Linked DNA regions of Ovis aries. The protein of the gene in region 2 interacts with the protein of the main gene of each other region in a biochemical or structural test. Links are inferred from orthologs where the notes say so. Each region holds a gene or a part of one and is shown on either strand. Other genes may lie near its edges.

Region 1 (4,086 bases), on a different chromosome or scaffold from region 2:
CATCCTCTGTTGTCCCCGTCTCCTGCCCTCAATCCCTCCCAGCATCAGGGTCTTTTCAAATGAGTCAGCCCTTAGCATCAGGTGGCCAAAATATTATTGGAGCTTCAGCTTCAAAATCAGTCCTACAATGAACACCCAGGACTGATCTCCTTTAGGATGGACAGGTTGGATCTCCTTGCAGTCCAAGGGGCTCTCAAGAGTCTTCTCCAACACCACAGTTCAAAAGCATCAATTCTTCGGCGCTCAGCTTTCTTCACAGTCCAACTCTCACATCCATACATGACCACTGGAAAAACCATAGCCTTGACTAGATGGACCTTTGTTGGCAAAGTAATCTCTCTGCTTTTGAATATACTATCTAGGTTGGTCATAACTTTCCTTCCAAGGAAGAAGCATCTTTTAATTTCATGGCTGCAATCACCATCTGCAGTGATTTGGGAGCCCCCCAAAATAAAGTCTGACACTGTTTCCACTGTTTCCCATCTATTTCCCATGAAGTGATGGGACTGGATGCCATGATCTTCGTTTTCTGAATGTTGAGCTTTAAGCCAACTTTTTCACTCTCCTCTTTTACGTTCATCAAGAGGCTTTTAGTTCCTCTTCACCTTCTGCAATAAGGGTGGTGTCATCTGCATATCTGAGGTTATTGATATTTCTCCCGGCAATCTTGATTCCAGCTTGTGTTTCTTCCAGCCCAGCGTTTCTCATGATGTACTCAGCATATAAATTAAATAAGCAGCATGACAATATACAGCCTTGACGTACTCCTTTTCCTATTTGGAACCAGTCTGTTGTTCCATGCCCAGTTCTAACAGTTGCTTTCTGACCTGCATACAGGTGGTAGATGTTTATTAATGCCTTATAGACCCATATAAAAACATTGCAACCTCATATTGTCCAGGGGAAGTAGTGGCAAGTGGAAGGACTAGCCTGTAAAATCCAAACATTCACGAGTTACTAATCAATCCAAACCGAACTACAGACAATATTGAAGACTACATACTTCAGCTTGGACTGAGAATCCCTTCAAAGGGTCTACAGATCCAGACGCGAGATTGCAACCATCAATAGGCGTACCCTTCCATTTACCTACAGAAACTACAAAGCCCAGCGTACTGTGCGTCGAAACGCGACGCTCCGTTCCTTAAACTAGGCGGGGTTCCAAAGCAGCCTGGCTCGCTAATTCAGGTGCAAGGCATGTTGGGTATTGTAGTTCTTCGAAAGTGAGGTCGGGCCGCTCCCCGGCTGCCCAGTGCCGGCGGCTAGACTGCGCATGCGTGTCAGTGGCGTTAGCGGCGGACCGGGCTGGCAGTTCCTTCCTCGGAAGGAGAGGTTCTTCTGCCATGGAGTCCTACGATGTAATCGCCAACCAGCCTGTCGTGATCGACAACGTGAGTTGCATCCCCCTAGCAGGGCTTATGCTCTCCTCCCCGAAGGGATCGCTTCCCGTGTTTCAGTCTGGGCTGCCGGTTCTTTGTCACTGGCCCGGCCTGTCAGGCGGGTTCAGCCGCCGCCGCCTCTCTCCTCCCTCGAACCGAAGTCCGCAGATAGGGCGACCAGCTGGCCAGCAGCCATGAGAAGGAGAACCTTGGGATGGATAAAGGGAAGGGTTATAGTCCTAGCAGGGTCCTTGGGCCCTTGACTCAAGGGTCCTTAACCGCTCTGTGAGCCCCCGGCACCCGCCCCTCCCCAGTTTTCGATAACTCTATTGGCTGCTCTGGCTGTCCATCTTGACCGCTGACCCCGCCTCTGGGCCTTGCCGGATGGGGGCAGCCTTCTGCAATGATTGGCTCGTTCCCTTGCCGTTCTTCCGGGCCGCCATAGTGTTTCCTCTTTCAAAGGGCGGTGCGGTGCACGAGGGCTGTTGTGATTGGTTTCGGGGACTCCCAGTGGAGGGGGCAGACGGGCTAGGGCGGCGGGTGGAGCAGGGCTAAGTTTCCTTCGGTCCCAGCCGGTAGGGCGGCTTGGCGGTGTATCTGGGTGGGGTCTGAGAGTGTGATGCCAGAAATGGCCTGAGGATTTCAGTTACTTCTGTGATTATAAATTATACCGTTAATAAAGGTCGAGAAGAAAGGAGAATGACAAAGCAAGCAGGGAGGTACCTTCCTCTTTGAAACGCCTAGTTGCTGAGGGTAAAAATTACTAAATATAATACTTGCCAGGCGCTCCAGCGCTTACAACGGAGGGGTTCGCATACATTCCAGTTGGATCTTCACAACGTGAATAGTTAAGGCAGGAATTTTGATCCTCGTTTTACAAATGAGAAAACTGAAGCGCAAAAATGTAAAGTGAGCCCAAGGTCGCACTTTAATCCTGTGCTTTATCCGTTATTCATCCTGATAGTACCTACGCAAATGTATCAATAGTCACAAATCGAAAGAATCTAAATATAGCTCTTATTTCTGGCGGAAGGAGGCAGTTATTTAAAAAGTGACTGTCTTCCATTCAAAGGTTTAGTCCAATGGAGATTGGTTGCTACCTTTCTAGTCCCCTCTGAGTCCCTCTACTAAGGCAGAACTGCCAATTCGCTCTAAGCTGACTCAGATTCGGTTTCTTGATTCAGTCCTTGGGACCGTTGGCACTTGCAAGGTCCTTTAGTTTGCATCATCTTATTCAAGCTTCAACACTGATAGGTAGATAGGACTCTAAATATCCAGAAAAATGAAACGTGAAAGGTTAAATAACAGTATTCAAACCACCTGGCTTATGAATTGAAGAGCCAAGATTCAATTTGAGATTGAATTCTTAATTCCTCACTTCTTCCAAGGAAAGGTGCTTCTTTAGCTAGCTTTCTTTCCTTCTCTCCTGGAAAAAGGTTGAGCTCAGTGAGACACCTCATTTTGGGGAGGATCTGATCGGCGGGCAGGACAGGGAGGGTCTCGGATCTCCTTCCTTGGGCTATTGAATCCGGGTGGGAAAAGATGCTTGGTAGTCCTTCATTTTTCCTTAGTCTCTCGTTCCCCAGTTTCCTCCACACAGACAGTATCTAGGGCCTGGCACCACTAGGTGCACACTGGATTTTTAATTTTTATGGGTAGGGGGGATTAATGGCTGAAAATCTCTCACAGTAACAAAAATGTCCCTAAATAAAAGGATGGGAGGAAGGACTAGTTACTGCATAAGGTTGAGCAGGACTCTTTATTCTTGATGTTAATTTTCAGAGAACACTACTATTTCTATCTTCAGCCAGTTTGTGTATGCTTCATGTGCCTTTTTCTTGGTTTTAAAAAGAAAGAAAAAATAGAAATTAACAATTTCCTGTTTTCATCAGCAGTGCAAAAAGAGCAGTCTGTCCATCCCACCAGACCTTTTGCTTCTAGAATTGTTGGGCTGCAGTGTTATCTCCAACCATTTTCTTTATGTCACTTAAGCAAATGCTTCTTAGTTCCTTCTTTCTCATTCTTGAGAGTGTATTTGAAATGCATCAAAGCAGCGGTACCTTTTCAGTTTGAATACTTAAGGAATAGACTTGTTTTTCTCTGGGAAAACATTTCCTTTATTATGCCAGCAATCTCACCAAAAGGTGAAGTAGGAGAAACTTAAGTAATTTTCCCACTAGATCATTTAAAATATTTGAGCCAGCTTTATATTATGAGGATAACGTGTCTCTAGCAGATTTAACAGCTCCATAGTTTACCATGCTGCCACAGTTTTATTTCTGGGCTAAGTAGAGTGTAATTAAAAGACAGAAGAACAGAGAAAGCAAGGAAAAGAGAGAACAGCCCCATTATCGGTTCACAGCCTTTCCTAGTCTTAACGCAATTGTTGACCACCCCTTTCATAGAATTCTGGGACCAAACCAATTCATCAGAATTTAATGAAGATGGAAGGGTGTGTGTATGCATATGTGCACACGTGATTTAATGATGACAACAACAAAAAAAAGTGATGAGTATTTTAAAAAACTAAACATGTTGTTCTTCCCAAAGTCATATCACAGATAGTAGTACAAGAATGAGAAGGGCCACTCCCAGGACTACAACACTTTAATAGGAATACTATATTCTGAACTCAGATCTTTGGGAGGTTAAATACTTCCATAAAATGAATCAACATTATGGTCAATCTTAAAATTGTCTTTTCTGG
Region 2 (3,512 bases):
CCCCCTCAACCCCCCTCAGCCCCGTGAGCCCTCCCCTCTCTCGCTTCCTGAGCCCTGGCCCCTCAGTGCTAACCCCGTCTCCACCTCACAGGCCTGGGAGCGGCTCGAGAAAGCCGAGCACGAGCGTGAGCTGGCCCTGCGCACAGAGCTCATCCGCCAGGAGAAGCTGGAGCAGCTGGCCGCCCGCTTCGACCGCAAGGCCGCCATGCGGGAGACCTGGCTCAGCGAGAACCAGCGCCTGGTGTCTCAGGTAGGACGCAGGGGCTCCTGGCCCGCCCAGGCAGGTCTGGAGACATAGGGAGTGAGAAACAGAGGTGGATAAATAGCCCTGCCACGTGGGGAGCTAATGAAACAAGAACTCCATGGCTCAGATGAGCAGACCAAGAACCCGGGAACTGGAGGCTTGAACGGGAATAGGGCTGATGAGCCAGGATGGGATAGAACAGACGGGACGTCTAGAACCACCCCCTGGAGCTGGCGTCTTGCAGTTTGCTCTGGGGCGGGGGGGGGGGGGCAGGGGGTGAGCAGAGCAGTGGCCCCCAGCCCTCAGACCTCCCTCCCTGCCCCCTCCCCAGGACAACTTCGGCCTGGAGCTGGCCGCTGTGGAGGCAGCAGTGCGGAAGCACGAAGCCATTGAGACGGACATCGTGGCCTACAGCGGCCGGGTGCAGGCGGTGGACGCCGTGGCCGCAGAGCTGGCCGCCGAGCACTACCATGACATCAAGCGCATCGCCGCACGCCAGCACAACGTGGCGCGGCTCTGGGACTTCCTGCGGCAGATGGTGGCTGCCCGGCGGGAGAGGCTCCTCCTCAACCTGGAGCTGCAGAAGGTGTTCCAGGACCTGCTCTACCTCATGGACTGGATGGAAGAGATGAAGGTACCTGCGGATGCTGCAGTCGGGCCGAGATGGTCAGGACCGTGCTGGGGGGTGGCGATGAGCAGGTTCCCTCAGCTGCTCAGCCAGGTCTTTGCAGAGTGTGCACCAGTTTGGGGCCCTGTCCTTTGTTTAGATAAGCAGACTGCTCCCTGTCCTCATGGGGCTCACGTTCGAGGGGGAGGAGACTGATGATAAAACCCTTGGCCGGTCCGTAAACAACATAGCAGCTGGGCGTGAAACCTATGAGGAAACGGCAACAGGCCATGTGATGGAGTGGTCCAGGAGGGCCTCCCTGAAAAATGGCTTTTAAGCTGAGAGCAGAGTGTCCCAAGGAGCTCTGAGGAAAGAATGTTCCAGGCCAAAGGAACAGAAAGGCCCTGGGCTTGCTCATGTGTGGCATGTTCCAATGAGAAAGGAGGCCCTCAGGGACTGTAAGAACAGGGGCCGGGGGCGGGGGGTACAGGGGATGAGGTCAGAGAGGAAGTAGCCAGCTCACTTAAGGCTCACAGGCCTGGTCAAGGAGTTTGGATGTTACTCAGAGTAACATGGAACACTGAAGGTGCTTAGAAGGTTTTGAAAAGAAGAAGAGACGTGATTCTGCATTTTCACATTTTTTAAAATGTCACTTTGGCTGCTATTTGAAGAAGGGCTGTGGGCAGCCAGAGTGGGAGCTGAGAGACCAGTCTGAGGCTGTTGCAGTGATCCAGGCGAGAGATGGGGACATGGATAGGCCTGGAGAGACAATGACGATCTCGCTGGGGGGCTGGGGATGGAGCCGTGACCGTAGGAGGGCGGGGATAATTCTGGGGCCGAGAAAATGAGTCAGCGCAGAGATTCCTGGAGCAGGATTTAGTAAGAAAGTCGTTCCACAGGAGGGGAGTTGAGTGCAGAGGCCAGAGTGCCAGGACAGAGCTCAGGGGGTCCGTATGTGTGTGAGTGAGGACTGACGGACGGAAGCAGGCATGCTCACGTGGGTGCGATCAAGTGGAGCTGCCCAGAGAGTCGGGTTGTGCGGTTGATCCTTGGAAGACAGGATGAGGTGAGCACGTGTGTGTGTGTGTGCGCGCGCGCGTGTGTGGCGGGGCAAGAGCCTCGGCTCAGAGGGAACCGTGCAGCTCTCAGACGGGCATCAACATGCCCGGCGTGCCCCACAGGGCCGGCTGCAGTCCCAGGACCTGGGCAAACACCTAACGGGAGTGGAGGACCTGCTGCAGCTGCACGAGCTGGTGGAAGCTGACATTGCCGTGCAGGCCGAGAGGGTGCGGGCGGTCAGCGCCTCTGCACTGCGCTTCTGCGACCCTGGGAAAGGTGACAATGAGGGAAGGGACTGGGACAGAGAGGGGCTGAGAAGGAGGACAGTAAGAGCCGAGGCAGCAAGATGGGAAGAACCTGGGGACAGGAAAGGTGATGGGTGGTTTGTGGGTGGCAGAGTGAGAAGTGTGGGGTGGTGGGGGTTGGAACTGGGGGGTACACACAGGAGGCAGAGGGCGGGGCCACAGCTCTTGGCCCTCTGGTGTGACCTTTGCAGAGTACAAACCCTGTGACCCCCAGCTGGTGTCGGAGCGGGTGGCCACCCTGGAGAAGAGCTATGAGTCGCTGTGCGAACTGGCAGCGGCTCGCAGGGCCCGGCTGGAGGAGTCCCGGCGGCTCTGGCGCTTCCTCTGGGAGGTGGGCGAGGCCGAGGCCTGGGTGCGGGAACAGCAGCACCTCCTGGCCTCGGCAGAAACCGGCCGGGACCTGACCGGCGTCCTCCGCCTGCTCAACAAGCACACCGCCCTGCGGGGCGAGATGAGCGGCCGCCTGGGGCCCCTGAAGCTCACCCTGGAGCAGGGCCAGCAGTTAGTGGCCGAGGGCCACCCTGGGGCCGGCCAAGCGGCCGCCCGCACCGCCGAGCTCCAAGCCCAGTGGGAGCGGCTGGAAGCCCTGGCGGAGGAGCGGGCCCAGCGGCTCGCCCAGGCCGCCAGCCTCTACCAGTTTCAGGCGGACGCCAACGACATGGAGGCCTGGCTGGTGGACGCGCTGCGCCTGGTGTCCAGCCCTGAGCTGGGGCACGACGAGTTCTCCACACAGGCCCTGGCCCGGCAGCACCGGGCCCTGGAGGAAGAGATCCGGGGCCACCGGCCCACGCTGGACGCGCTGAGGGAACAGGCGGCGGCCCTGCCGCCCGCGCTGAGCCGCGCGCCTGAGGTGCAGGGCCGCGTGCCCACCCTGCAGCGGCACTATGAGGAGCTGCGGGCCCGGGCGGGCGAGCGTGCCCACGCCCTGGAGGCCGCCCTGGCTCTCTACACCATGCTCAGCGAGGCCGGGGCCTGCGGGCTCTGGGTGGAGGAGAAGGAGCAGTGGCTCAATGGGCTCGCCCTGCCTGAGCGCCTAGAGGACCTGGAGGTCGTGCAGCAGAGGTAGGTGCCCTGCCCCCTGCCCCCTGCCCCTCCACCCCGCTTCCAGACTGGCATTGTGAGCTGGGGGCCAGCGTGTGGGGTGACGTCCAGCCATAACCTGCCTGCTTCTGGTACCCCACTCTGAGTCTTAGCAGGCGTCCGTTTTTGGTTTTAATGAAAAATGTTAAACATACTCAGAAATAGAAACCTTATTCAACAGACTCAGCCAGATTCAATAATCATCAGCATCATGCTC

What was found. The genes of interacting proteins can lie anywhere in the genome.
Region 1: the proteins of SPTBN2 (region 2) and ACTR1A form a complex in vitro, tested with the Homo sapiens proteins (2 studies listed by BioGRID). The link is inferred for Ovis aries from reciprocal best matches to the Homo sapiens genes SPTBN2 and ACTR1A.

The regions. Positions count from the first base shown.
Region 1 is NC_056075.1:22,874,509-22,878,594, reverse strand, and holds the start of ACTR1A (alpha-centractin), read left to right. Parts: upstream 1-1,277; 5' UTR 1,278-1,343; coding exon 1,344-1,391; intron 1,392-4,086. UniProt on the Homo sapiens protein: Part of the ACTR1A/ACTB filament around which the dynactin complex is built. The dynactin multiprotein complex activates the molecular motor dynein for ultra-processive transport along microtubules.
Region 2 is NC_056074.1:41,148,432-41,151,943, reverse strand, and holds part of SPTBN2 (spectrin beta chain, non-erythrocytic 2), read left to right. Parts: intron 1-91; coding exon 92-250; intron 251-575; coding exon 576-878; intron 879-2,032; coding exon 2,033-2,186; intron 2,187-2,406; coding exon 2,407-3,277; intron 3,278-3,512. UniProt on the Homo sapiens protein: Probably plays an important role in neuronal membrane skeleton.